4 separate regions of the Mus musculus genome follow, and regions 1, 3 and 4 are each reported to be linked to region 2. The links are microRNA targets in miRTarBase. Many come from high-throughput screens and were not tested one by one. Region 2 holds a microRNA gene; each other region holds the end of a gene's coding sequence.

What was found. Region 2 holds the annotated microRNA mmu-miR-875-3p (CCUGAAAAUACUGAGGCUAUG, at 2,580-2,600, shown strand). A microRNA usually pairs through its seed, bases 2 to 8, with sites in the 3' UTR of a target mRNA and lowers its output. Matches are read on the target gene's strand: a 7mer-m8 pairs with bases 2 to 8, a 7mer-A1 pairs with bases 2 to 7 and ends in A, and an 8mer does both.
Region 1: miRTarBase lists Wnk1 as a target of mmu-miR-875-3p. Seed matches in the 3' UTR shown: 7mer-A1 at 4,975-4,981.
Region 3: the mRNA of Cep68 is a reported target of mmu-miR-875-3p. Seed matches in the 3' UTR shown: 7mer-m8 at 4,164-4,170.
Region 4: the mRNA of Ptchd4 is a reported target of mmu-miR-875-3p. Seed matches in the 3' UTR shown: 7mer-A1 at 5,538-5,544 and 7mer-m8 at 4,121-4,127.

What each region holds. Positions count from the first base shown.
Region 1 is chr6:119,920,252-119,928,892 of GRCm38, forward strand. Wnk1 (WNK lysine deficient protein kinase 1) reads right to left here. Exons shown (of 28, transcript NM_001199084.1): 27 at 6,796-6,983; 28 at 3,718-6,436. The coding sequence ends at 6,119. It overlaps Rad52 (RAD52 homolog, DNA repair protein), which reads left to right. Exons shown (of 12, transcript NM_001166381.1): 11 at 556-777; 12 at 2,221-2,572. The coding sequence ends at 2,282. Among named protein-coding and RNA genes, the nearest start is that of Rad52, 22 kb to the left of the region's middle.
Region 2 is chr15:35,658,582-35,663,581 of GRCm38, reverse strand. It overlaps Mir875 (microRNA 875), which reads left to right and starts at 2,535; the gene lies at 2,535-2,612. The region is part of intron 30 of Vps13b (vacuolar protein sorting 13B); the gene reads right to left. It overlaps Mir599 (microRNA 599), which reads left to right and starts at 2,664; the gene lies at 2,664-2,751.
Region 3 is chr11:20,224,479-20,233,119 of GRCm38, forward strand. Cep68 (centrosomal protein 68) reads right to left here. Exons shown (of 7, transcript NM_172260.3): 6 at 5,946-6,116; 7 at 2,559-5,003. The coding sequence ends at 5,950. Rab1a (RAB1A, member RAS oncogene family) reads left to right here. Exons shown (of 6, transcript NM_008996.4): 5 at 1-20; 6 at 170-2,378. The coding sequence ends at 367. Among named protein-coding and RNA genes, the nearest start is that of Gm51885, 5.7 kb to the left of the region's middle.
Region 4 is chr17:42,503,538-42,511,821 of GRCm38, reverse strand. It overlaps Ptchd4 (patched domain containing 4), which reads right to left. Exons shown (of 3, transcript NM_001355270.1): 3 at 4,081-8,284. The coding sequence ends at 7,907. Among named protein-coding and RNA genes, the nearest start is that of Opn5, 100 kb to the left of the region's middle.

The DNA of each region.
Region 1 (8,641 bases), not on the chromosome of region 2:
TTTGGGGTGTCATGTGGCGTGTTGCGGATTGATCCCACCTTGCAATACTAGGCAAGTGCTGCTGTACCAGTGAGCTGCATCTCCAGCCTGTAGATTCCATCTTAAAGGAATCATAAAAGTCCTCACTTTCATTTGATTTTTATGTATGTCCTGGTACATATGTATAGATCAGAGGACAACTTTGTAGTCAGTTCTTTCTTACCATTTGCCTAGGTCTTGAACTTAGATAACTGAGCCGTGTGGCAAGTGATGTTACCAGGTGAGCCGTCTCTCTGGCTTTCACCTGATTTTTAGTGCCTTAAAGTTTTATAAAAATGGAAAGAGGTCTCCAAATTGCTCTGACCAATGGAAAGATTTAGGATATTTGTGGGAATTAAATTTTGTGATTTGCCAGAGGGAGCTCAAAGCCTGGAATTTTTTTTTTTTTAGTCCTGAGCCAGGGCCTCACTCTCTAGCCTGAAAACTGTTCATCTGCTCCCTGCTGGCTGCCACATGCACCATTATGGTTGTCAAACATGGAAGCTTTTGTGAATGACACCGTGGTTCTCTTTGTAGATAACCTTGAAGAGAACCTTGAAATGTGGGACCTTACTCCAGACTTAGAGGACATCATTAAGCCCTTGTGTAGAGCAGAACCAGCCCAAACTTCTGCCACTCGAACCTTCAACAACCAGGACAGCGTCCCACATATCCATTGCCATCAGAAACCACAAGAAAAGCCTGGACCTGGGCACCTGCAGACCTGCAACACCAACCAGCATGTTCTAGGTAGCAGAGGTGTGTGGAAGAATGAAAGTTCTGGGTTTAATTCTTTAACATGTAAAGGAAAGGTGCTAGTTCATTTTAAGACGCTGACTTAAGGGGCTGGAGAGATGGCTTAGCAGTTAACAGTACACACACTGCTCTTGTAGAGAACCTGGACTTAATTCCTAGTACTCATGTATTGCTTCACATACACAACTGTCTACACCACCAGTTCCAAGGAGACTGGATACACCTTTTCTGGACTCTGGGCATGCAAGCAGCATATAGACACACATGCAGGCTAAACCCCAGCACAAAAACTAAAAAGAAAGGGTGGGGGGATGATAAACAGGACTCAGTAGCACATGCCTGCAATCCTGGCCCTCAGGATTAGTGCACCTCTCCAGAGAGAACCAAGTGTACTTCCTTTGGTATTTTGTCTGTGGAAGAGGCCAGCCTGAGCTCTATGAGGTATAGATATGCCTCATAAAAGATGAAGTCTGTGGGCTGGGTATTTAGTCCAACCAATGGTATAACACTTACCTAGTATGTTGTAAGGCCTTGTGTTCAATCGGGCCAGTAAGGAATACATACATATTAAGATCCTGTCTCAAAAGGAGAAAAAAAAAAAAAAAAAAAAAAAAAAAAGCTGGGCAGAGTCCTTTACCTGAGCAGTTCAGGTAAAGATAGTGGTTTGATACAGGGGAACACCAGGGCCAAAAAGGGGGAGTGGGTGGGCAGGGGAGTGGGGGTGGGTGGATATGGGGGACTTTTGGTATAGCATTGGAAATGTAAATGAGTTAAATACCTAATAAAAAATGGAAAAAAAAAAAAGATAGTGGTTTGAGCTTTGGACTCTGGACATCATGGCTAGATCTGTTTAGATCTAGAATGTGGTGTGTCCAACATGAGACTTGGGAAAGTTATGAGTGTTTGCATTGACAAAGTTACAAACTTAATTATTTTTGTAACTTGATTGCATGGCTCTTGAGCTGCAAACTTTGATGATAGTGTTTTATAATGTCAAAATGTTGGACACACTACTTGTCCTGATTGCATTTAGATCACTTCTTCCTCAAGGTAGATATGTCATAATGAGAATGACACCACAATGGTCACTCATTGTGTGTTGTCTAAATGAGGGTTGTTGGCCAATACAGTCCAGAAATGACTACATCCCAATCACAGCCCCCCGCCCCCCAGTCCCTCTCCTTCTCAGAGCCTAAGGGAAGCCTCCCTTGGGTACCACCTCTTCCTGGGACTTCTAGCAGGACTAGGCAAATTAGGAGTCCTAATCAGGCAGTCCAGTTAGGGGAAGAGGATGCAATAGCAGGCAACCGTGAGACAGGCCCTATTCTAGTTGTTAGGGGACCCACATGAAGACCAAGCTGCACGTCTGCTATAAAAATGTTGTGGTGGGGGGGGGGCTACTGTTTAAAGTCAAGGCTGCTGTATTTAAACCATTATCTTCTACAGAAGACTCTGAACCTCATAGGAAGAGCCAGGACCTGAAGAAAAGGAAACTAGATCCATCCTGAGACTCAAGATGTCACTAGACCGTCACAAAAGGACTTTGGAAAACTGCAGTTTGGTCACAAAATTGTTCCACCTTGGCTCATGCTGAACTCTTTAGAGGACTATAGAGGAAGCTAACTACTTAAAAAGGTTGTCATACCCCATGATGGGAAGGAGGCCAACAGATAAACTTTGTTCAGTATTACTCACTCCTAAGCTGATTCTAGGACCTTGCAGGCTGCCTTTCATTTAACGATGTTGCCCACCAAGCCCCAGCATGACTGTTACCTACATTAAATTATGTGTGACCTCATCTTTCCTTTGGCTTCAGGTTTTTAATGTTTTCCACTAAGCATTGCTATGAACAAGGTCATGTTGTCGGTTCAGGATCACATGCGGATCCATGGAGGAGTCTCCCTTTATCCAGAGATGTGCCAACACTTAAAACGGGGTGCTTAAGGCACTGGATTAGTTGGCATTCTTTTTAGTAGGTTTTTTCCTTTGGAGATGATTTTTTTTCATGTAGTCCTGGAACTTGCTTTTTAGACCAAGCTGCCTTGAACCTGTCCTCTCCCTCCTGAGTGCTGGGATTAAAGGTGTGCACCATCACACCTGGCTCCTATTAGTTCTGCTGTTAGTGTTTTTTTGAGCCATCAAGTAATGTTTGAACACTGACACTGGCAGAATTGGTGTAACTTACAATTGAGATTACTGGTAGTTTAGGCTTCTTGCATGGCTGTACTTGGCAAAGGCATAGTTAGGGTAAGATTCTTATCATACTACATGAATAGTGCACCATTTTAAAGAATTGTTTTCTCTGGCTGAAGAGCCTTTGAGTGAAAAGCCATGGGTTGTTGGGAAGCCATAATTTCTCACTTAAAGAAGGGTGGAATTGGCTACACAGAGAAACCCTGTTTCGAAAAAACAAAACAAAAGAAGAAGGGTGGAATCATGATCCATATGGTTTCTGGGAATTGAACTCAGGATATTTGGATGAGAAACTACTTAGCTGTCTCCCTAGGAATAGGTGTTTTAAGGAAGTAACTGTTCTTTAACTATACCACACCCAAAGTTTCATGATTCTTTTCAAAGGAACAATGAACTTCCAATTCTACTTAAGCTGAATTTAGGGTTATGCTATGAGGGAATTGGTGAGTCCCTGGGACCAGGCACAGGCTTGGTGAGAAAGAAGTGCCTCTAGCCCCTGTGCCTAGTCTTGAAGCAGGGACAAGATCTGTTGGTGAGAAACTGAGACCTATGTCAGACGCTGTTGACTGACAGCAGTTTGCAATAATTTCCCTGCCATCTAACAGCTGTTGCTTTGCCTTTTCCTGAGGACTAGCAACAGACTCCTTGGAGAAGTGCCACTTTCACCCTTAACAGCACGATTTTAGTTATAAATGGTAGGGCCAGTGAGGACAAAAGGGTTTTTTGTTTGTCAGAAAGAACAACCCACAGTTCAACAAAAGCAAGTTTGGTTTATTTGAATGGTTTCATTAAATAAGTCTACAAAGGTAACAAACTGAAGCACAAAGCGCAATCTTACAGAAGCGCAGCCCCCGGAGTTAGTGCAAATGTACAGGTAACGGCTGCTGAGAAACCCCAAGGTTTGAATTCAGTTTTAAACAGTGTACATTGTTAAATAACGTAAGGAAAACATTTATAATTCGGAAAGTTCTTTTTAAATGTGGAAAGATACTCAAAGTGTACTATTAACACAAAAATAATTTAAACAGTTCAGTAGCACTAGCTCGTTTCTCTAGGCTTCAGTTATTTCATCCACAGGAGGGGGAAACCAACAGTAAGTAAACCTCTGTGAAGGGGGAACAGACCTCACTCAGAATGACTAAACCAAACACCACATGCTGCATTTGGCTCCCTCTACTGCTGGTATGAAGCACTCAGTCATCCTGTAACCTGCTTCACTCCCACAGTACCTCTTACCGCTCCCAAAAGGAATAAATGAGTCAACACTTTGGTAGCACGACCTGAAACAAAAGCCCTGCTCATTACACTTCCCTCTCCTGAAACTTTCAGCTCTCACTTGTATCTTTGGGCCTCGACCAACTTAAAAAGAACAAGACTCTTACAGGAAGAAGCCTTGCTAGTGTGGCAACTCCTGGGATGTGTCATAAAGTTGGAAATGTGTCAGTTCCCAACTCAAGGTGAAGGAGGAAGCACCCAAGAAATGAGTTCTACTTTTTCCACTTTTCCAGAATATTCAGATCCCAAACAGCCAATTAGGTCCCTATTGCCAGAAAATCAGATAATACTGGTTGGTTGCTGTTATTTGGGGATATGGGTATGAAAATGTGAGAGTATTAGCTCTAATATAGAAGTACAGGCAGCACAATAGATTCTGACTGTGCAACCATTTGGACAGCTAGGAAAGGAAATAAGCACTTTTTCCTACAATGCTTAGAAAGTTAGAAGTGGGTTGAATTCCCACAATACAGTACTTAAAGCAGAGAAAGTGTGGTGGTACTTGTGCAACAAGAGGTGGGGGCAACCGAGCAGGTTTCCTTAGAGCAACATTTTCCATCTGTGACTTGGCACTGTCATCCTTCCCAACTTAAAATCTAGCCCACTCCCCTCTTTTTGTTTAATCTCTTCTAGATCTCGTTTGTTCACTGGCCAAGCATCACTTCAAACAAGCTTGTCCCCACATCTTCAGTCCTTATCTTTCACACACAGCTCACAACCCTCCTCATTCTTTCTGAAACAGAACTTTGTTTTCAACCACTGATGCCAACTTCACTGTGCTCACCTTACACCTGCTCTAGGCAAAATTGAAACGACTGAGAAAACAAAACAAAACAAAACAAAATAATAAACCAAACCAAAACCAAAAACACTTTCATTTTCCCTTTGGCATATCCACTGCTGGGGTCATGTGGACCTAAGATTTCTTTCCACATACCCTTTGGTGACCTGGGGTCTGGTAAGTTGATGCTAACAGCAGAAGCAATAGAAGTCCAAGGCACTAAAATATCCAGCAAGCAATACTGGGAGAACAGAAGTATTCAAGTACAGTAATTTATACAATTTTACATTCACATTTATTTATCTAATACAATGGAAATACAAAGGAAAAAGTTAAAGTGTCTTAATAAGTAAAGGACAGAGCTAGCTTTTGTGTGTGTGTGAACCTTTTAAACCTTTCAAATTTTTCTCTTAAAACTAATGTTGTCCAACAACATTTATATATCACAGTGTTTCCACATCAAAACTGATGGCAAAGTTACATGTCCGCAGGGAACGTTATTGTTTTCCCTAATTGCTAATGCTGCAGTCAAAGCTGCTAATATCTTTTGCTTAAAGCATTAATGACCTATGTAAGAAAGGGTTGCAACCCCAGTCCCCTGGTATTTTTCACTAGGTTGTAAAAGGGGGGGAAAAAGTGGGGGTAGGGATCAGAGTGGGAGAGAACCTTTGTCTTAAGGTGTGCATTGTTGAGGGAATAAGGAATTTGGGACACATGTCAAAATTAAAGAGCTCTGCCCACTTACAGATACAGATCGGGTTTGGCTTACATTGAGCTCTTGGGGCTTTCTGGTAACAAGGTTCTCTTCTAGTTCTAGGCCTTACTGAGGGGTACAAAAACAGAAAAGCAGTCTCAAGCAGCCCCTCCACCAGAAAGCTGTTCATTCCTTCTTTTTTAACTCCAACAAACGGAGAAGGAGGGTGGTTCTCCATTCTGAGGGCTCAAAATGGTATTAAAAACATTCCCTTCTGGCAAGAAATAACCAGTTAAATGCAGCACTAGTAGTTAGTATATAGGCTACTTCCCCACCCCCCCACCCCCCCAGCATTCCATTTCCTGCCCCCAAATCTACTCAGTTAACATCCTTGCTGCTGACTAGGTGGTCCGTAGATTGGAACCTGGGGGGTTGCTGATGGACTTCTGCAAATTGCTGATGTTGAAATTTTGCAAGGATGCTGTTCCTACAGGTTGGAACTGGCCAAGTGGCTGCGGTGCTGGACCACCTGTTCCACTCCACTGAGTGCCAAATGGGGCAGGTGGAAAACCATACTGCTGTGGGGGACACATGGATTTGGTGAAGTGACCTAGAGAGGTAGCAGATGCTGCAGAGATGGGGGTAGAGCCACCCAGGTTTGAGGTCATGGGAACACACAGCTGCCCAGGAGCAGAGAACTTCCTTGCCATTCCAGGGCCCTAAAAACAAGAAAGTAGCAATGAGAATTTGATGAAAAATGGGTGATACTATAATGCTGTTGTAGAGCTGAGATGTTCTAATCTTAGCATTATCAAAATATAACGAAGCCGCCCATATTTATTGGCTTTACCCTTAACAAGGAGGAGTGAAAAGTAGGATCTGAGATGTGTTTTATGTGCACATGCAGGTAGTGCAGGATGTTGAAGAAAAAGGGTACCAAAATGATTGCTGCCTTGTTTTCTCAATAATAGAATCCACAGGCTACTGAAGATGGTAGTGGTAAGGATGGCATACCAGCCTTGGCTGTCCATGACATGTCTGTGTATAGTCTGGCAGGTTAGGAAAAGGGAAGACTCACCTCATAATTCATGTGTCCTTTGCTGCCTCTCCTGCCTGAAAGATTCATGGCATCTCGGGCCCAGTTGTCTACTAACTTGTGCAGGTCATCTGTGAATGTGCCCTTCCTACTGGAAGTCATAGCAGGAGGCTGAGCCTGGGCAGCCTGGCTACTCACTGTTCCTCCAACGGTATTTGTGCTGCTGGTCCCTAGAATTATAAGTAACACAATATTAGCATTAAAGTAGGGTTCTGGGATATAACTTTGGGGAAAGGGGAAAATGTCATAGGGTAATGATTGGCAAGCCACGGAATGGGGAGAATATTTGGGAAGCCATGCAGGAGAGGAAGATTTTGAAGTATTACTTATCCATTTGCTTTTGCACAACAGGTAGTGAAAATGGTTTCTCTTCCACAGCTTGTAGATAAGGCTAAACAACATGGAGTGATGGCAGGCATGAAGGGAAGGGCATTTTCTAACACTGGGACTGTCTGCCAGTATTCTATTCCCAGCAACATACTGATGAGGGAGTGATATGGTCCACGGGGCTGGCTGCTATGGAACTTTGAAGAGAGCAGGGCCAAAGAAGTACTGTGCACTGGGCAAGTTATATAGTACAAAGGCAGAGATCAGGGCTTCTGTGGAAAAGATGGGGTTTCCAGACAGCATGTATGCTGTGGCATTCGTTCTTTAGATGCTCTTCAAACAAATAGAAATAAGGAGATGCTACATGCTTTGTTTAAAAGTTTTCACCTGAAACCATAAACATAAATTTGAAAATATAAATTTGGAAGGAGTCGAGGCTTCAACTCCTCTCTATGTCCCATGAATAAAGAACTGAGTTTTGGCAGCAGCAGAAATGCCTGAAATTCTCAGCTCCATGAAGTTATGACTTCTTGAGGACTTGGGTTTTAACTGGTCAAGGATTCTCATCCCTTCTCCCCATTCTTCCCAACAGAAGAAGCACTCCTGGGTTGAAGCAACAGGAAAATGCAGCTGAGGCAGGGGTGCAGAGGGGAGAGAAGGCATAGAGGTTATGATGAAGGATTTCTATTTCTATGGTTTGATGAAAAAGAAAGGAGGAGTCTGTGTCCTGCCTGATTTCGGTTCAGCTGGAGGGCACACTGAAGGTTATTCGTAGAGGCAAGTTTTAGGGAAGAGGGAAAGAAGAGTCATGGTCTTATTTTTGGTTTTTATCCCCCACTTAATTAGTAGACTTTACATTTACTACACAGTAAATAAAGGTTACTAATGTTGTGAGCCAGAAGGTCCTACCATACTCAAGGAACTCTGGGACTAAATGCATGCGTTTTCCTGCTTTTAAATGCCAAAGCAGCACACCAGAGCACAGCAGCACACCTGAAGCAACCCTACTGCAATCCACTGTTGGTACCAAAGGGTGTATCTATTTTACCACAAAGGGAATGTCTCTAGCTAAAAGCATGTCTGTGCTAGAGGAAAGCTAACTTGGGTAAAGGTGCAGAATAAGGATGCTCACATGCTTCTTTGGTTGCTGTGGCAAGACATGAATTGTTGCAGTCACATGGTGCCTGCTAAAACTGCAGAGGATTGTTACTATACAGTGTAAAGGTAGAGTAATTCACCTACAGTATAGGAAACCAAGTGGGAAAGTATAAAAGCACAGGAAACAGCCTTCCTTGAATAGCAAGTGTGGGACAAAGGTGCAGTGGGAAGGAAGCACAGGCTGTGAGATGGGCAGTTACAACAGTGAGGAAACCCAGAAAGCAGGCATGTGGCATGCACGAGGACTAGCATCCTGCTAGATGACAGGCCAGATGATCGAAACAATAAAAATATCCACAAGTGAGCAGAGCTGTCGATGCCAGATGAGAAGCCAAGGCAGGGT
Region 2 (5,000 bases):
CGTTTAAGATTATGACAGAGTCTGTAAATATGGAGTCTTGAAAATAATTTATTGTTGCAAGTTAACTGGCTAACTAGATTCTATATTGAGAAAAAAAAATATAGTGGAGGCATTTGTAAACACAAATTACAACCTAATTAACTGGACTGAAAGTATTCTAGGCAGTCCAAATTGCAATACATTTTAATAAAGACAATTCCTTTCCTATCTTTTTTTAAAAATTGGATATTTTCCTTATTTACATTTCAAATGTTATCTCCTTTCCGGGTTTCCCTCCTTCCTGGAAATATCCTATCACATCATCCCTCCCCGCCCTCGATTCCCCTACACTGGGGATTCTATCAAGTCTGCAGAGTTCCAAGGACCTCTCCTCCCATTAGTGCATGACAAGGCCATTCTCTGCTATATATGCAGCAAGAGCCATGTGTACTCCTTTGTTGATTTAGAACAGTTATAAATTAACAGTATCACTTTTAAAGCTCTCAGGCCATTTTCCATTCACACAGACTTGTTAGAAGATAAGAGTACAATACATACACAATTAAGACCCTATTATTGAATAACTAAACACCTACGTCACATTTTATGTTAATAAGTGGGATACACATCATCTTTAATGTTGGCTGCAGAGAATCTACCCACATGAATATTACAACATTAAGTCCGTAGCTACAATTAAATATTAATAGTGTTTCAGTCAGTGAAACTATATATAATTTATGATCTTTCTTATTCATGCCCCCAAATAAGCCACCCTAAATCCAAGGCAGTTTATCACTTCATGTTCTTTAATGTGGTATCTCAAAATAAATGAGTATATAATTATCACAATGTTTTATCAAAGGCACGGATACAGTGTGGATAAGCTTGACTTGCCAGTGGTGGTATAGTTTTGAGAGGCTGTAGAACTTTAGGGTGGTGTGGTCTAGCTGGAGGAAGTGGGTCACTGGTGTGGGTTTATAGCTGGGTTCTATTTCCTGCTCTTTGATGTCAGGTTTGCAGAGGTGTGAACTAATAGCCAAAGACTCCTGCCACCACACCAGGAGCTCTTCCTAACACCCATGCTTTGCTTCCTGGCCTGCCAAGATTTGGGCATGCAGTTTCATGATTCCTCCATTAGAGCTTTGAGCTGCTCCTACTGCTAAGGCTTATCAGCAACGATGGGCTTACACAGCCTCAAATCATAAGCCCAAACACTGTTTCTTGCCCTAACCTGCCTCTTCTCAGGTATTTTCTAATAATAATAAAAGCAGCAATTAATATAGACTGTGAAGCAATATTCCATTTTGAACTTTATATACACTCATAAAAGACTCATGGAAAAATGTCCATTTAAATAACAGGTTTAGAAGGTAAACCAAGGAGGCCTGAAAAGCATGTGAGAGTCTCTAGTAGAGTACGAACTGGCAGTCTAAGCACAGAATCATCTCTTTTAGCCACTAAGATCACAGTCACTAAGAAAATTACTCAATTATAAAACATAAATATTTTAATGAAGATGAGTGTTGGGTAAGTAACATAAATCAATCCTTAATTACAACAATGCGGCTAGGCTAGATATGTAATGAACCTATACATTAAAGATGTCTGAACTTTAATAACCTGGACCACACCAGGGTCACAATTGGTAGCAGAACACTGATCATCATATAAAAGCCAGCAAACACATGAAAAGAATTACAGTACATCACACATCAAACACTATGGCCTGGTGCTTCCTTCCTCTAATCCTACTGGCAGGAAATGGTCTACACAGCTTTTGAGGTGACTAGACATATTTAAAAGAAGTCCCTTGTTCAGAAAAGCTCCTGGATGCTGCAGTTCTTAGCAGGATGGAGAGCACCTTCTGCTCTGCCGAGGACCACTGTACTACGCCTCCCGTGTCCACACAGCCCTGCAGCCACACTGAGAAGGTACTGGAATTGTATGATGCCATTTACTCTGCAAAGACTTAAAAAAAAAAAAAAATAGAAGGAATCGCCAAAGTTGTGTTTCCATATTGTATATAGCAGGTAAATTCATCCAAAATTGAAAAGATTTAACAATGTTACTTTGGATTAATAGAATCAGCTTTTGACCTGAGCCTGAATTATATACTTTTAGTGCAAGAATAAATTTCAGAAAATATCTTTCTCACATGACAATTCTTGAACCTGGACAGTATACAAATGATTCTGGTGTACTGTTAGGCTTTTTTGTTTGTTTTTAAAAAATACTACACTTCTGAGGATGTATTTTCAAATAAAATAATTGAAATTAAACAAATATGAATCCAGATAAAAGCAAAAATTCAGACTATCTAATGTTATGCAAAATAGGAAAGTATATATAAAATCAATTCTATTCCATTTTTCTTATTTTAAAATTCAAGTATGTTTATAATGTAACTTGACAATGTTTACCAGAATGAAAGCAAATTAAAGAATTATCTCTTTCATTAATGTCTCTTCTGCCACTAAGATGAACAAGGGGTGCTTCCATCCTATAACCCTGTGCATTTGTTTATTTTTCCTAGGTTTGGGGAAATTCCCAGTTCTGTGGTACTATACCTCAGTTTTATCAGGTGTTCATTAAAATCACCTGAAAATACTGAGGCTATGTTTCACTGAGCATAAGCTTCATGGATTCCTTGAGTGACTGCAGCTGTACTCACCACAAAGATGTGCTGTCCACAGTGTATTTGATAAGATGACATAGGAGAGGAACTTCTTTCACCTTTGTGTCAGTTTATCAAACCCATACCTGGATGACAAGCAATTCAATGGAAGGAAAACCAGTCCCAGAATTCAAAGCATTATTTCCTGTAGAAGAGCTCTGTGCTCTCTAAATGCCAAAGGCATAAATATACGACAGTTTCACTAAATGACTAAAGCCTTAAATAATATGGATAGAAACGGTTGCACTGCTAAAGTTATAACCACAGTTATTAAGGTTTACTGGTATGCTAGGGGATTTGGGTGAAAATAGCACTAAGGATAAATATGTATTACCTGATAATAAAATATGAGGAATTTATGTTAAAATTATGCTTTGACTTTGCTCAAAATTATTGACTTTTATATTTTTCGATTATTGTATTGCTTTGGTTCAGAATCCTCGACAAGAAAATTTATAGGTGGCAAACACAGGTTAAGGAAAGAGCATTCACAAATTAAAAACTGAAATTAGCATTTAGTTTTCTTGAAAGTTACCAATAGTCATAAAGGGTAGAACAGTGTTAATCTTTGACATATAGGCTACTATGGGCAGAAGTGAAGGCTGCAGGGGTCTGGGGGAAGTGTTAATGTGGCTATGTTTAAGCAATTAGTATTTCTCCTGTGGGAACTATCACTTCAAGAATGAAACAAGGACAAATAAGAAGAAAACATTCTATGGCCATTTTTACCTACCTTGATAATCAGGGCTGTGTTCCTTAGTACTTTTGCCAACATGAACTACTTTTCTGGTATCTTAACCTTATCAAAGTTCAGGGTTAGAAATTACAGAACAAAAACATCAGATTAAGGAATGGTTTCAATGAAGGGGATAAACAGCTTCTAAACAAAGGATAAGCCTTTCTAAGTGCATAAAAAAACTATTTAACCTACGACACTAATGACAGTGCACACTGTAATAAAGAAAGAGAAGCATGCGTGGGAAGGAAGTTGTCCTTCACACTGACCCTGCAGAGGAGAACTGTTCATTGCTGGGGCAGGGGAATGACACTTTCTAAGTCTGCATGCCACCTCACTGCTGCTCACCAGATGTTCATACGTGATATATACAGGTAATTTACTATGCATATGTAGTGAATATGTGTATGGTCCTTGCTTCTTAATTTGACACCTAATTAGCTTCTCTGTGGTAAAGATGTTAGGCTGTGGCTGTAAGTGGACACTAGTCAATACAGGCTAAAACAGTAAATAAGTGGCCTTTACAGCATCTCACATTTACAAGTTCACTAAAAAGATATTTTAAAAACAGGGAATGTATGATGTATCATGTACCCATCCTTTCATCAATGAACACATATAGGAAACAAACATACAGAATACTATTTAATTATAACATTCAATTATTTTATAATAGGCATTTAAGAAAACATAACACTATTTTACCATTTTTGTGTCTTGCATGTCAGTAGCCATGGTACACAAGCATTATATGCCAAGTATTATGGAGATTTAAAGGTTTAAAATTATTTTAAGGTCTATTTAACCTGTTTTCTTTTTTTTAAATTAGGTATTCATTTCATTTACATTTCCAATGCTATCCCAAAAGTCCCCCACACCCTCCCCCACTCACTCCCCCACCCATCCACTCCCACTTCTTGGCCCTGGCATTCCCCTGTACTGAGGCATATAAAGTTTGCACGACCAATGGGCCTCTCTTTCCACTGATGGCCAACTAGGCCATCTTCTGATACATATGCAGCTAGAGACACGAGCTCTAGGGGGTACTGGTTAGTTCATATTGTTGTTCCACCTATAGGGTTGCAGATCCCTTCAGCTCCTTGGGTACTTTCTCTAGCTCCTCCACTGGGGGCCTTGTGATCCATCCAATAGGTGACTGTGAGCATCCACTTCTGTGTTGCTAGGCCCTGGCATAGTCTCACAAGAGACAGCTATATCTGGGTCCTTTCAGCAAAATCTTATTAGTGTATGCAATGGTGTCAGCATTTGGAAGCTGATTATGGGATGTATCCCCGGATATGGCAGTCTCTAGATGGTCCATCCTTTCGTCTCAGCTCCAAACTTTGTCTCTGTAACTCCTTCCATGGGTGTTTTGTTCCCAATTCTAAGAAGGGGCAAAGTGTCCACACTTTGGTCTTCGTTCTTCTTGAGTTTCATGCATTTAGCAAATTGTATCTTATATCTTGGGTATTCTAAGTTTCTGGGCTAATATCCACTTATCAGTGAGTACATATTGTGCGAGTTCCTTTGTGATTGGGTTACCTCACTCAGGATGATGCCCTCCAGGTCCATCCATTTGGCTAGGAATTTCATAAATTCATTCTTTTT
Region 3 (8,641 bases), not on the chromosome of region 2:
TAGACTACACAACAGCAAAGGTATGTATGAGGTTTGACTTTGACACTGAATTTAATTATGGGGACTGCCTCACCCTGTAAAAGCCAGTGAGCTTAGTCCCCCATTCCCATTTCAGAAGACTAAGTCAGAAGGATTTTCCATTGTTCACTGTGCCTTATTATTCTCTCAGGAATTTGCAGATTCCCTTGGAATTCCATTTTTGGAAACCAGTGCTAAGAACGCAACGAATGTAGAACAGTCTTTCATGACGATGGCAGCTGAGATTAAAAAGCGAATGGGTCCTGGAGCTACAGCTGGTGGTGCCGAGAAGTCCAATGTTAAAATCCAGAGCACTCCAGTCAAGCAGTCAGGTGGAGGCTGCTGCTAAAATCTGCCTCCGTCCTTTTCTCACAGCAATGAATTCGCAATCTGAACCCAAGTGAAAAAACAAAATTGCCTGAATTGTACTGTATGTAGCTGCACTACAACAGATTCTTACCGTTTCCACAAGGTCAGAGATTGTAAATGGTCAATACTGACTTTTTTTTTTATTCCCTTGACTCAAGACCGCTAACTTCATTTTCAGAACTGTTTTAAACCTTTGTGTGCTGGTTTATAAAATAATGTGTGTAATCCTTGTTGCTTTCCTGATACCAGATCGTTTCCCGTGGTTGGTTAGAATATATTTTGTTTTGATGTTTATATTGGCATGTTTAGATGTTGGGTTTAGTCTTCTGAAGATGAAGTTCAGCCATTTTGTATCACACAGCACAACCAGTGTCTGTCAGTTTCCACGCATAAAGTTTAGTGAGACGTTATATGTAAGATCTGATTTGCTAGTTCTTCCTGGTAGAGTTATAAATGGAAAGATTACACTATCTGATTAATAGTTTCTTCATACTCTGCATATAATTTGTGGCTGCAGAATATTGTAATTTGTTGCACACTATGTAACAAAACTGAAGATATGTTTAATAAATATTGTACTTATTGGAAGTAATATCAAACTGTATGGTGATAAGTATTGTTTTAATTCCTATGATTAAAGGGAAATAGAGCTTTGCATTCTACTCAGCAGCCACGTGTGTGCAGCAAGGGCACTGTAGACCTATCTTAATAGCACAGCATCCAGGGTTTGCTTTCTAGTAATAGGTCTGATGAGTGACCTAGAGAAGCTTTTGTGCTGTGTAGAGACTTCACCACCTTCATTGGTTCAAGGAACTCAAACTCTAGTGCTTCATCTCCAGCCCAGGCCACCTGAAGTGGCTTCACCAGCAACCCTTTTTTCCCTCATCTGTGGTAGAGATGGAGAGCAGCCCATGCTTCCTCCCAGGCAGTGATCTGGTAATAGTGCTGGTGTTTCTTCATGCTCAGTCTGATGGCGCACACACCTTTTTCTTTCTTTTTTCTTTTTGGCTATTGGAGATAGGGTTTCTCTGTGTATCCCTGGCTGTCCTGGAACTCTCTCTGTAGACCAGGCTGGCCTCGAACTCAGGGATCCACCTAGCTCTGTCTCTGAGTGCTGAGACTGAAGGTGTGCGCCGCCACGCCTGGCTTTTTTCCCCTTTCTTTTTTGAGACAGGGTCTTACTATGTAGCCCTGGCTAGCCTGGAACTTAAGTATGTACAACAGGCTGCCTCCCCCTCCCCCATTCACCTGCCTTTTCCTCAAAAGTGCTGGGATTAAATGATGTCCCAGACTGCACCTATTTTTTGAGACAATGTCTCATATAGCTCAAGAGGCCTCAAATTCACTTGTAACCAAGGATGCCCTTGAACTCCTGATCCTCCTGCCTCCACTTCCAGGTGTCAACTTTATTCTTTCCAATTGTATGAATCATGTTGGTGGAGAGTTTAAGCATTAGAATAGAAAGCAGGAAATGTGATTGCCCTAATTGTAGAAATTCTATCTCCCCCCCCCCCCAAATTAAATGAAAACATGAACGCTAGATGGGAATGATGGGAGAAATAATATATTTATTTCGGTGAAATTTTGCATGTGTGAAAGTTTGTTAACTAGGATCTTCGAAATCCTAGACTTTGCTTTTGTCTTACTGTGGGAAACAAAGTCTCTTGCAGACACTAGCATTTTAAGGTGACAAAGGTCAGAGATTGTTTCCTTTGGTTTAAGGAGCAGCCAAGCATTCTTCAATTGGGGGCTAGGGTAGGGTATGGCTGTTGATAACACATTTTATCATGGGGTCTTTAATGATAAAATATTAAACTAAAAATAAGCCAGAAATTACAGGTTTATTTTTCACTAAACAGACAATTGAAATACATGGTACAAAAATAAGTGGTAAGATTATTGTAAATTGAAAAATGGACAGAATAAATATTCAATTTAATTTTCCATCTATGAGAATTTCACAATAAAATCATAGTTTACTTTGTATTATAGATGCGCTTGTTGGGTCTATTCATCCTTATATATAAAAAGGTAACTGGAAACTCCTCAAGTCACCAGGAATTGGGTCAATATCTTTTATTTTTTTGTAGCTGTTGGTTTTTTGTCAATATAAAGGGAGAAAGAGTTCATAAACTGTTTTCTATCATAACTAAATGATACAACACCAATATAGGATGAAATGGTGCCAAGCACTTTAATTTTACACAGCAAAAGTTGTTCAAACTGTCAGCTTATTCTGTTAGCAGAAAACATTACATGAATTTATTTTTAATATAAACATATTTACAGACTAAAATTCTAGTGCTCTTTCCCCACTGGCAGCAAGATTAGGGCTTACCAGACTATTTCAGCATGCTTCACTATTTGGTTTCATGTATGTGCTGATAATTGCTGTTTTAGAGTGGGAAATAACCCATTTTTCAAGTATAAATATTTCAAGACTCTTGGGGGCTCTAATATGTTCACATAATAGAAAACTGTCCCTTGATATATTTTAAAAATGACTGCCATAGAGAAACGTGCATAATGAAAAGCACTCTCTCAGTTGGCCACGGCTCCCCTAAGGTCCAGTGCTCTTTCGGACAGTTCCCTCAGGCTCATATTTGGCCACATCTTGTACCACGATGTCATTTTAAGTTTCAAAGCTGTTTGAATTATCTTGTTTTGTGCTAGAGCTTCACTGTAGACCTGTAACAACCCTGTCTCAAGATGCTACTTTACTGTGAACTCTGAACTTTAAGGGACCATTTATAAATTCTAAAAAGGCTATTTGAGTCTAGCCTGGCCACATTTACAGATGCAAATGGTAGTGACATCCAAGGCTGAGACATTTTAGCTCAAACATAACACACACCAGAAGATAAAACAACAGTTGTATTGATATTCCTAAATGGCATTCACAGCCAAGGTCAGAGTTACACCCTTTAGTTACAAAAAGTCTATCTTCTTGTTACAAAGAGGATGAGCAGAAGCATAGAGCATGTTCGGGCCAGTATTGTGTTGGGAAACCATGCTCACTGTCAGTTGAATCAATTGTAATTATACAGCAAAAGAAGAGGAGTGCCCCATTTTGCATTCAGTTGGAGCAGCTGGCTAGCTCTATGAGTCTCCTGACTTTCATGCTTGACAAATGGCTTTAATACCTGAGGGCTCCTTTAACATATTGGTGGGAAGGCAGTTTAAATCCACATGAGAGGTAAGATGTGCTTTTGACCAATTCTAGGTTTTATAGGATATTTTACATTTAACTTAAATTATTTGCTAGAAAAGTTTTGTTTTAGCCTCTTGAAAGCACTTTATGTACCATGTACAGTATAAGAAATAAGTTTAACTTAGAGATGGCAGAATAAAACTAATGTGAGCTGGTGCATGACTTTAATCCCAACACTTGGGGAGGCACAGGATCTCTCTTGAGTTTGAGGCCAGCCTAGTCTACAGAGGGAGTCCCGGTACAGCCAGGGTTCTGTTACACAGAGAAACCTTGTCTCAAAAACCCAAAAACAAACCAGTAACAACAAAACTCTTAATATGGATCATGCCCATAAGCATTATGGTAAATCATGCTGTGTAGCATCAGGCATGTAAAAATACTGTATTTTATGCATACTTACTGAAGAATCTTTTTTTCCTTCTTCTTCTTCTTCTTCTTTATAAAGCCCTGGCAGCCTGGACTCTAATAAACAAGCCAGACTGTCCTCAAACTCACAGAGCTACTTTTAAGTACTAGGATTAAAGTCATGTACATGCTTATCTAAATAGCTATTTTTTTTTTAAACCTGAAAAGCCCACCTTTGATACTTTGTGGAATTTGTGGTAGCCAACATACAAACACTTTGCTTGGAAAGCTGTAACTGATGCTTTGAACATATGGACCTATGATAGGTCCATAGAATTCTTTTCTTCCTGACAAGGCACAACTTCCTGTTCACTCCCAAACTACAAAGACTCCCCGCTTTTCATCACCAATGGCTGCTTTAATTTACGTACGCACAGACCATGTGGCTGTCTCTACCCGGCCCAGTCCTCTGACTAGTCTTCCAAGGGGAAGAGAACTGTGGCCTGAGATCCCCAGAGGTTAGCACAAGCATGCAGTTCAGAAGCATGGCAGGCCAGCTCCTGAGCATTCTTGACATGGTTGAAGTGGAGACTGACCACTATAGGTGGCAACTCCTAGGACTCTGTAGAGGTTCTCCCGACTTACTAAGGGTGAGCATTTCACTCTACAGTTTTGGCCACTAACATTTTCTCTCTTAGATCCCATCCCCCTGTATGCCTGAGAATCCTAAGTACGTAGAACCTTTCTCCAGCAGCTTTCTGTAAATGGCCTCAACACATTTTATCTGCTGGTTTTTAAACACGAGACCCACAAGTCTTAATATTTTATCAACTAATTATAAAGCCACATAATTATTGTAGAGAAGCACCATAGAAACGGCCTTAATTTTGGAGGGATTCATAGTAAATGAGGGCAGTGACTCAGGATCCTTCAGAGGCGAGAAAGGCATCTTAACGTGTGTTCAAGTTGATTTCCTCCCCTTCCTTAACTTCCATGGCTCTTACAAGGAGTTCTTGAGTTTTCTTTCCAGCTGCCATCTCGCCAATGACTCCACCTCTGCCTGAATGAGAGGAGAGCAAGGTTACAGCCTGCTGCAGAGGCAGCAGTGTGCTACCACATGTACTCACACCACTCACATCACTGATGCAAATGCAGGGCCCCTTTACTACTACTATTTTTTTAAAGATGGTCTGTTGAGTAGCTTAGGCTGGCTTCTAGGAACTCTCATGCTTCAGCCTCTAGGTGAGATTACAGGTCTGCATCACCATCCTCCCGCTGCTGGAGTCTCTGCTCTTGACATATTTCCAGCATTTGCTCACTGAGATTTATTTGATAAACATTTTGTAAGAGGAAAAAAATCAGTACAACCTGTGATTCTGCCCAGGATAGGTACCAGATAACCCTGCTTTTTTCTTGGGCTTCTTCCTATCTCATTGCCAGTTTGACTTTCTAAAAGTTGTATTTAACAAGTAGTATTGATTGTTAAGTCTGTAAGATGTGTCATCCCCCAGTCTTTGGGGGAATGGTGTGGTATGGAAGATCTGCAAAGGTCCTTTGTAGCATAGCGATCTGGCAAGTAACTGGGTTTTTGTAGACGTTTGTGTTGTCAGAGATGCTTGGAGACAGGTGCTGAGTGAGTTGAGCAAGAGAGCCTGTAGGACAGGGACAGTCTTGAACGCAGCCCCACACTGGAGAGAGTAGCACTGTAAGGATTACTGCTGCTGTCTGCTGTGTGGTGTAGCAGTAGAGGTAGAGAACACCGTATGGGAATGTGGGATATGCAGCTCAGCAAGCACATGTTAACAAGACACTGGAAAGAGTGAAAGACCCACCTTCCTGGCCAGGGTAGTGACTCCTTCAGTCTTCCTTCAATACTACATTTGTTTCAATGAGTATTACCCCAGCCAAGTATATAAGAAGTAATTATTTACTGGGACAGCCTTGTGCCCTTGTTAGCACAGTGGTTGGACAGTAAGTCCTCTTCTTGGGTTTCTCTACTTACTGTGTTAAAGCCCTTCATGTGGGTGTTCTGCTGCTGTTGGCCTGTTGTCAGGGATGAGGGTGCAGCCAGCCAACATGTCCAAAGAGGCTAAGATAGAGTCATAAAGATGATCTGCACGGCTCTCCAGCTCACCAGACTGCTTTGCAATCCTCTCAAGGACATCCTTTAAAACTAATGGTCAAATTATAAAAAGGTATAGCATTTTGCTCACATAGGTCTGTAAGTTTCACAGTGACTCCTCCCTACCCTAGCAGGGTCTCATGTAGCTCAGGCTGACCTCTAACCTTTCTACTTGAACATGACCTTGAACTTTTTTTTTAAAAAAAGATTTATTTATTATATGTAAGTACACTATAGTTGTCTTCAGACACACCAGAGGAGGGCATCAGATCTCGTTACAGATGGTTGTGAGCCACCATGTGGATGCTGGGATTTGAACTCAGGACCTCTGGAAGAGCAGACAGTGCCCTTACCCACTGAACCATTTCTCCAGCCCCGACCTTGAACTTTTGATACAGGTATATACCACAGCATGCACACTACAGTAGTTTATGAAGTTCTGGGAACTGGAGCCAAAGTTTTATGTAAGTTAGGCAAAACATTCTAGAAACTGAGCCACACTCCCAGTTCATTTAATCTTCTCCCTTTAAATAGTGATGTTCCAAAGGTTCCAGAGCTTATGTAATGTATTGGGGAAGTTTGTGGACTTTGGGGGGTAAGAAGGATCAATGACCAAAACTGGAGGAACGATTAGAGAATAGACTATGCATGTCTAAAGAGGGAGGCGCTAGGATTAGAGTACTCAAAAAGGCTGGCTGTTTTCTTTTGTTAAATACAAAAGCTGCTTGCTTCCTGTGCTTTATCAGCTGGGTTAAATGCTCCCGAGCTTCCTGCCTGAGAGCAACATCTGCCAGCAGAGGATAAGAAAGGGGAAGTCTTTGTTCTGCTCACAATGTGGACTCGATGGGGCAGGAAGGGAAGGAACTGGCTGGGTGTGTTGAGGTCAGCCCCTTAGAAAGCCATAGTGAGGCAAAAGTGCTGGCCTAACAATTTCTTGGAGCTGGTGGCAGAGGAATGTTGTCAGGGTGGCTGAGCCAAGCTCTGTTCAGTCTTTCCGTGTGTCAGTGGAATTCTGGGGCTTTTTATTTGAAACTTTAAACAGGTCAGGGAAGAAAGGCTAGAAAGGGTACAGGTTTCTTTTTCTTAGGATTTATTATGTAGTGTTCTGCCTGCATTATGCCCGCAGACCAGAAGAGGCACCAGATCTCACTGTAGATGGTTGTGAGCCACCATGTGGTAGCTGAGAACTGAACTCAGGACCCCTGGAAGGGCAGACAATGTTCTTAACCTCTTGAGCCATCTCTCCAGCCCTTTTCCTGTTTTTGGTGTGTGTGCGCTTTAATTTTACACATACATATGGGGGGCTTCATTTGGTGTAATTCCCACGAGTCCCAGTCACATGACTCATAAGCAGTTGAGAGTGTAGAACAAAATGTCAGCCTAAAGCTGGGCGTGGTGGCGCACGCCTTTAATCCCAGCACTCGAGAGGCAGAGGTAGGCGGATTTCTGAGTTCGAGGCCAGCCTGGTCTACAAAGTGAGTTCCAGGACAGCCAGGGCTATACAGAGAAACCCTGTCTCGAAAATCCAAAAAAAAAAAAAAAAAAAAAAAAAAAAAAAATGTCAGCCTATATTTCTGTAACTAGGTCAAACTTCCTTTGGCAGGGTGCTGACATAGGGCCCTCTTGGTGGTAGGTAGGGGCAAGCCTTAGTCACTCCTGCAGTTAGACTTGGAGCCAAGTAAGAAAGCAGACTCGGAAGAAGCAGGATGGTATGGCGTGTGTGCTGACAGGATGCTTCTGGGAAGAGGAAGTAGAAAGTGTTAAGGGTAACTTGAAACTTGAACAGAACAGCTAAGCGTTCCAGTTACTCCAGGCTGAGGGCTGGGAGGGTAGCAGTCCGAAGGTCTGGGTTCATATCTGAGATTCAAAGAAAACCAAAAGCCTCTTCTAAGAGGCCAGGCTGACCCCTAAGTCTCTTCTCAGAGTAGGACAAAGTGGCTCTTGTTAGCTTACTTAAGGCAGCCTTCCATTACACATGGCCTCTGTGAAGAGGCCTATAATGAGCTCTTTCTGCTCAGACCCTGTTTCTTCAGACCCTGGACAGCAGCTGCAGGTTTCTCAAGCCCCATGCTAAGCTTGTTTGGTAAACACCAGTGTAGTCAGAAGCAATAAAGCTTGCTATATCAAATTTCTGCCTTAATATAAAACTTGAGGCTGGTGTGATGGCTTAGCAAGTTAAGGCTTGCAACCTGAATTCAATCTTTAAAATATGTATAAGGGTAGAAAAGAACTAACTACCTGACCACCTCCACACAGATGGGATGGCACAGACACAGACAGACAGACAGACACACACACACACACACACACAACTACATAACATTCATATACAAAACAATAAAAACATAACCATTAAGGCTTAGCCACAAAAGCAACACCTAAAAATCCTATGTAAGAGAACACAGGAAGAATTTCAAAACAGGCCTTCAGAGAAGCAGGGGAGACAAAGGGCTCATTAGTTCACACTGGTGCAGACCCGTTCGTGGTTGCTCTCCATCAAAACCTCCCCATGTATTCACTTCCCAGGGTACAACTGGCACTGCCTGGAAAGGTTCCAGGGGTCTGAGGGCTTCTGT
Region 4 (8,284 bases), not on the chromosome of region 2:
AGACTTTTTAAATATACCAACTGCTCTTGCTACATACAAGGAAAGTAGTTATTTGTGAAAATCAAAGGTGAAAATAGTAACTCCATAAATCTTTGTCTAGTGGTCCTACAGTTAAAGTAAACGTGAAGCATTGTTACAAGTAGTGAAGTCTTGGTTATTTTTTTCCTTAAGACATTTATCTTTAGGCCTCAGGCATAGGTTTCTTAAGCTATATGATCCTGAGAAATTTCACTAAAATGATTGTATAGATGTACATGTAAAACCTGAAAATAAAAATAAGATAAATATTTGACATACAATTTCTATCCACAAAGGTACGAGAGCTATTCAATTAGGAGAATCACATTTATTTATTCCTGTGATAGTTACAAGAAAAACTCATTTTCAGATTATTTTATTTTGCTTACTGAGAATGGAAATACATATAAATGTTCCCCATGAGTCAAATTTTGGAAAATTAAAACCACTGAAATCACTTTTTAAAGCTCTTTTATTAATATTATTTCTAATAATAATTCTAATAATTTCTAATAATTAGAATATTTGATGCTCAGGAAGACCTAAGCTGTGTATTTGGGCAGTCTGTTATTTGGGAGAAGACATCTTGACACTGAAATACAACTTAAGTCACTCTTTTTGGCACTTGTTTTTTTTTTTTCCTTTAAGCTTCTGTCGATAAGGTAGCTTTAGAGTTAAAGTCCTATGTGCAGAATTCTGGAACAGAGGTCTTCAATCCTTTACTGGAAAATTGGATGTGATGAATAAGGCTATTTTTACAAAAAAGAATGCAAAGAACCAAAATGTAAAAGGAATGTTATATTAAAAAGCCATCCTTATGGCAAAGGCAACTGGCAATGGTGTTTTGCCATTGGGGTTTGTACTGTTAGGATGCCAGGACTTTATAATTTTATACATGTTATCTTTCCTTTTCATTTGGCTATAGAGATTAGCATCTCACTGCACCAGGATTAGGAACTTGTGGGCATTTCTTCTGGGAAAGGAAAGGAAATGGAGCACTCGGTTTCCGTGGTCACGCCCATGGTTTATTGACTTGCGAAGAGACAGCTATCCTTTCTAGCAGTCTTCTCCTCACTGATTTGAAGCAGCCTGTGGTTCAGAATCTTAGTGGAGGAGAAAGCAGTGGTTTTACACTGGGTGGGTGGGTCAGGGGGGACCTAGGAAGTCATTCTAGTATCTTTATTGTTTCATAACTGCTTAACATAAGTAAAGTAATTGATGCCTTTCCATCCTCTGCAAAGAAGGGCAAATGGGCTTTTCATTGAAGTTAGTCCCAGATTACTTGATGACACATCTTGCTGATGAGCCACTGTCTCTAAGTTAACCCTAGGCAGTACTGTTTCTGAACTAATACTCTTGCTGCACTAATTTTCATGCTCTGGGATTTCCATGAAGAGATAACTGAACATCTTTCCCAAGGGATGCTGCATTGGTGAATATTTATAGTAAGTGGCACACAGAAATAAAACTACACACGATGGTGTTCATTTTACCACTATCTGGGTACGATTTTACCAGTGAAAGGAAAATAAATAATAGTGTATTACCATTTAGACAAAGGTTGTATGGCATTTCATCTTTAAATATCCCTGTGAGGTAGCTTAGCAATATCTCTGTCCTTTTCAAACAGTGACAGATTTTCTACTTAAGAATCAGGAAGTCTATTGCTGAAAGAATATGCATAATTAATGGGAACACGTGATAAGCATTGCAGATACACTGGTGAGCAGGAGGATAAATGGTTTCAGTCACTCGGACTTTTATGTCAGAGGAGGAAAGACAAGGGAATATCCTGATTCCATATAGACATGAATGCTATAGATTGTACTAAGACCTATAAAACCACAGCAGCTGTTCTTTTTCTTTTTCAAGGTCTCTCAGTATGGCTGCAAATAAAGACTCAGCAATCCACCGACTTTGGTGATGAAAGCGATTTCCATTTTCAGTGGGAGATTCTGCTCCCTTCTCACATTTAGATAATGGAATGTTTCTCACAGTGTGCCATGAACAATCTCTTCCAAGAATCCAAGCTAAATCTATTCCGGACTGGAAAGTGACACAATTATAATAAGCTCCACTTATCTTTTATTCATGGTGGTCACTCCTAATACTTTCCAGGAAACTCTTCAATGAAATCTTCCCCAAACATTAAAACTCTTACATCTCCACTGGTTTGAAAGAGCCCTGGAGAATATGTAGTGGCTTTTGTAACTGCAAAAACAAACGGGAAGGAAACTATATCAGGCATGCCATGAGCCACGCAGCAAACTGGAACACAATTATGAATGACTAATGCTAACCCCGCCTTGGCTGGAACAGGAGCCCAAGAAACGGAGCAAGAATCACCAAGAGGCTGTGAATTGCTCTTACTCCCATGTCATCAAGGTTTTCTTTAATTTTTAGGATTTTATAATTGGTGTGACCTATGAGAGCTTTCTTTGGGAAAATTCATCTCAGTGAGAAAACAGAGACTGGAGTCCTATAGTTTATAAAAGTGCAAAATTGTCAATGATCTCATTTATAAATTCTTTATTGTATTAAAAATGCCTTGGTGACAGAGGTTCCCAGTGCAGCCTTAGCTCATTTTATCTCAACAACCCCTTTAAGGATGTAGAAGAGCTAAGATATGGTCCATTCAATAGCTACAGACGGTGCAAACACTGCTTGCATGTATTTCTCTCTTTGAATCATTTTCCTCTTTACAAGAAGAGTAAATGACTTCTCTATCAGCAGCAGATTATAGACCCTCATTAGGTAAATAAAAATGTTCAAAAGTATTATCTGTATTATAGCATCCTGAAAATGAATACTTTTCTGGGTGTTTAGCTGGAGTATTCTTTTCAAGAGTCCTTCAGCTTATTTTTAACTCACAAAACAGATCTGGTCCTGCTTAGAAAACCAGAAGCAGACCCAGTGTCTGAGTCTTACAAACAAGAACATGATCTCCAAGTGGGATAGATATAGTTACATGTATCTAGGTTTGCAAGCAGGTAGAACCTCTAGTTTTGAGGCACCAATTGATTCTCTGTGCTATTTTCTAACCTATAAAGTCTAGTGTGTAAGGACTTTATTGATGTCACTCTTCCTGACACACCCACACGCTGATATCTTGATTTCTTAGCTGGAGCCTTATCTGTCTTTTGGTATCTTCCAATCTCATCCAAATGTCATCTAACAAAACTTCAAAACATTTGGAACTCAGAGCAGTAACCCCTGCCCTCCTAGCTACAACACTGATGAACATTGGTCATCTGATACAGGAATTGAATTGTGGCTACATTCATATGTAGCACCTATGTGCTGAATGTCCAGTAAAGAGGCCTTGCTGCTTTTGATTTGGTCGCTACCACTGCAGTCATATTAAAGGCAAAGCTGTAAAAAAAAAAAAAAAAAAAAAAAAAAAAGTAATTACCTTCTGTGCAGTGTATCTGCAGATCATTGTGGAAAAAGGTTGGCATAAGGGCCTGTGCCACAGAGATGAGTCAGAGTTTTGTATTCAAATTTGAGATGAGGAGACTTCAAGGGCACACTGATTCAGCCATAGATGTTTTGACTTGATACTGCAGAACTTTGTTATAACTTTATTATTATTTTTTTTGTCACCGTAAAAGAAAGAATTTTATTGTTTTAAAAGAGAATAAAAATTATCTTGAAATTCCTTTGAAATAAATGAAAGCTTTCGGGATCACCTTTGAAAGAATTAGCAGAGGGCTGTGCACACAGGAACAACACTGATTGGATGGAGACTTTTCTCTGGGAAGCGTGGGTAAATCATAGAATTCTACAGTCTCATGAGAAATCATCACAGGTCCATTTTTAAGGTACTGTAACTTCTGGCTTGCTTTAGGGCATCCAGGGCATATTTGATTCCTGCCTAATGCAGATTCTGCTTGACCCAGCAGAGACCTGGCTTAGCCCTGGGTTTTCCCAATGGCCATCTTAGTGTAGGTGGCTTTTTTTTTTTTTTGATACTATGAGAAAGCAATTTTCTGATTGCTTCCCTTAGCATGAAGTTTTTTATGGACTTTAGGGCTTTGCAACTAAAACCCATGAGGCATTTATGATAGAGAATATGAGAATTTTAATAAAAAGTGTAATAACCCTGAAAATAGTGTCTTTAATCATCTACATACTAGTAATCATGCGTGCATTGTGCCATGCATTTATAAATATTTGGTCATAAAAATATTTGACTGTAATAACAATATTTACAGTCAACATATAAAAATACACACAATTCTGAATGGCAATAATTAATCCCCAGCTCGAATCGCAAGCCTAGAAGGATTAGCTTGTTATGGTAAAGTGCAATGGATAATTACAGAATGGACATAGCTCTTACACTCAAGATCAACATACAAGAATGGCTATTATAGCATCGTAGAAGCTACGGGTATCACACTTCTTTCTTTCACAATACAAAATAAAACATGTAAGTTCATTTCTGTGGAAAACAATTGGAAATAAATTGGAAGAAAGACATTTATGAGATACAAACTTAGTTGAGAATAGCTCTGTCATAGAGTACTCATGCTCAGCCTTCAAAGAGGTTCATGGTCACTGCAAGAACCCACCAGAAAACATGTAGCTATATATTCTTTCAACAGACTTCCACATGATGTAGGTCAGCCCACGAAACCTTTAGACAAATCTTGACTGATAATTTAGGTGAGTTCCTCCTTGGGGAGATTGGGACATAAAATGATATTTTCTGTTTCACATTCTGTGGGGGGGGGGAACACAGTCCAATTTAAACAAGAAAAAGTATGGGGTTCACAAGTTTTTAAAAATCTCTTCTATCAAGGGGAAAACACACTACAGTATATAAAATACTCCACAGTTCTAAAAGATTCACCACTGTTTTCTTCTAGGGTTTGAAAGGCCCCTCTGTTTGATAGACGATAACGTCCTAACTTGAATGCCATCAGCACTTCACAATGGATAAAGCAAGCAAAAACTTGAAAATCTAGGATGGAGCATACCAATAATCAGAAAAGGTTGAGTTTGGAGGTTTACCTGCAAATCATGATCTAATATTTTAATACTTGGTACTCAGTGAAGGAAATCTTGGAAATATCTGCTTCAGTGTGAGGTTGGAAGGTTTGCCGGATGCTTTGCGAGGTTCTTCTGGGCTTACATTACTTCCTAAGACCAAGACAAGGAATTTTGGGCACCCTATTAACTCTTCCAGAACACGGAGTTTCATTTCAGTAAATTATTGCTACATATCCTTGGAGAGAATCACGTGTTCTGGAGAAGTTAACATCTCTTCTAAAATGCCACCTCTCTAGACACTTGGACAATGAGAAATTCTTGTTTGTCCTACACGTCTGATCCTTGAAGACAATACTTAATATATAAACAAGTCTTTCCCCATCCAAGTGCTTTGAGAGAGACTGAAACTGGTGCTTTGGCATAATATGCAGCGGTACTTCCATGTATTTGGCAGTTTGCAAGCTTGCCAATTAGCTTGTCAATCTTTTTGTTGTTGTTGGGTTTTTTTTTTTTTTTTTTTTGTATCTGAAATGGTATGGCAATTATAAAACACAAGTAAGTTATCTTTAAATAAACAATTGGTGAAACAATGGAGTTTCACTGAATATGGACAGATATGAAGTGATATGGAATCCTCAGCTTCTTAGTGGCTGTCTTTACAAGCAGGTGGGAGTGATAGAAATTTTCATAAACGATGAGTAACTTTGAAAGAGGAATTCTGTTCTCCAACTGCAAAAACTGCTTAGAAAATTCGACTTCAAATATGAGATCATGGCCTGGAGGTCAACTGTCCAAATGTCTGTTCCCCCTAGGACAAAAGTTCTTGCAATGAAAGGCTGGCGTTACCTGTGACATGGCTTTACAGATACAGTGAAAATATCAAGTGCGGTTATGGGAAGTTATGGTCCCTCCTTAATTCTATAGCTATTGTATCCACATCAGGGGAGACATTGAAACACAGCAGTTTTAAAGTAGAATAGAACAAATGTCATTCAATAAACTGAAGTTTCATTTAAATGATGTCCATTTAAAAATTTGCATCATTTAGAAGAGCAGTACTGTCTATCAGCATTATTTCCTAAAACTTAAAAGGAATGGAATTTTCTAAGAGTTTTAGTTGTGTTTTGTTTTTTAAAGCCAATAGTATTGTTAATGCATTTAAATTCTACAACCCAAATTGGTAGGAAATGTAAATGTTCCTCAGGAAAAAGAGCTTCTTAGCAGGATGTGTAATCATTAGGCATTTGTTTTATTTTACCCAGAAATGAATCATCCCTTAGGTTCCTTATTTGGCATGGAAAAGGAATTTTCTAGTAAGGTTCTCCAACATGAATAGCAGCCTTAGTCCTTGAACGCACCCAGCAGACTGAGTACTTGCCTGGGGCATAGTTTTCAACACTAACTCAAACAAACAAACGAACAAACAAACAAAACCAAAAAAACCCAAAACATTTACCTCAATACTTTTTCTTTCTTTCTTTCTTTTTTTAATGTAAGGACTCCAGGTGCAATTACACACAGTTAATATGGCACCAGTAGAGAGCTGTGCTTGCCATAGGAGATTACTTTCTAGTTAATGAAGACAATGATACTCCAAGAAGCTACAAAATGATGCTGCAGGGGTTATGGTGACCACCATCATAGTGATCATGGTCTTGGTTAATGCTCCCAGACTTATTCCAAGGAACACATTAGAGTCTGTAGAGTTGGCAAGTTTTTCTTAAACAACAGGCTGTTTGATGCCGAGATGGTGAATGGTAGATGGCTCATTTTACTCGCTACATTTTCCAGACATTTTCTTTTTCCTGTGTTAATTGCCACCTGTGCCACAACAGTGTATTTTCACCATTTAACTTAAGAGCTCTTAACTACGAAATGGTATCTCATCATTTCTTTCCATCTCTCACTTACACTGTGTACCCTTACATATGCATGCAAAAACAATGTGCTTAAAGGGCTCATTTTTTTCAGGTGGATGAGATATCCAAAAGTAGCCATGCTGGCCTTCCAAATACACAGAAATGTTAAAAGCTAATGACAAGCTATCTCAACTACTTTAGATTCTAAACGTTTGTTCACATGCTAATTAACTCAAATACCTTTTGGAGTTTTGGTGAAGTCATCCCAAACGTAGGATCTCAGTGACCAACAACATGATAGGTAGAATTTAATGGATTCAAATTTCTGTCTATCTTGTTATCACACAGTTGATAATTCTCTTGCTATTTAGACAGTTGAGTTGATTTCAAGTGACCAATTATATATTTTGTATCATCCCTAATGAGGTTATATATTTGACTAATGTTGATTTGACTTTTTGAGAAAGGCCAGCCTATCTGCAAATGAACATCTTCTTTCATCCAACCACCAACACACACTCAAGACATATTATGTATATGTATACTTATATGTACACACAAAGTGGATTGGGAGGTCCGGTCCTTTGGTTTATACAGGATTAAATGTGTACTTCCCATGTGCATAGGTTTCCTTTGATTGATCTGTTCATGAAAACATGAAGTGACATGACAAATTAGACATTTCTTTTTGTACTTTCCCCTATCTGGAGACCACCTATTCTCTCTTCTCCATTTCTTCTAAGAATCTTTAGATCTTTCGGCCTTCCATCTGACCACACCAATCCATCCATTTCTCAGAAAAGCTCTAAGATCAATGTCTGGAGAATTATCTCTCATGGAGCACAAGGTTGTAAAGAACTTCACCTCCTTTTATTATCTCTTCCATCAAAAGAAGCAGACCCTTGGATGCGTCATGAAAAATGCACTCTTGATCTGACCTGCCTTTTTACCCCTGGCCAGCCCAAGCAGCTGAGGTCTGAGCCTTACTAGCCCTGCATCATTGTGCAATACTGGAAAAGAAAAAGTCTCCACCCTCAGACTGTGGTGACGTGATCAGGGTTCTCTTGGATTTCTATGCATTCAATTTCCTCTCTCTCCTTTCGTTTGGCCCGTTTCTTTTTCTTGTGGTGCTTTTTGGAAGGAGGAAAAAAGGTTAGGAACACAGGTAAGATAACAAAACAGTGCAGAAGCGTGCAACCCCCGGTCAGCAGCAAGCATTTGAACAGTGTGAAGGTCAGGTTTGAAGGCACAAAGAGGAGGGGGAGCAACCCAATAAGAAAAGAAGTAATGTTTTGCAAAATGGCTGTCCCATGCTCTTGCAGGGAGCTTTTTATACACTGTGTTCTGGTGTGCTCAGTTGCTAATACAAATGTATAAAGCAGTGGTGCACAGTGGTCAATGGCAAAATTTAA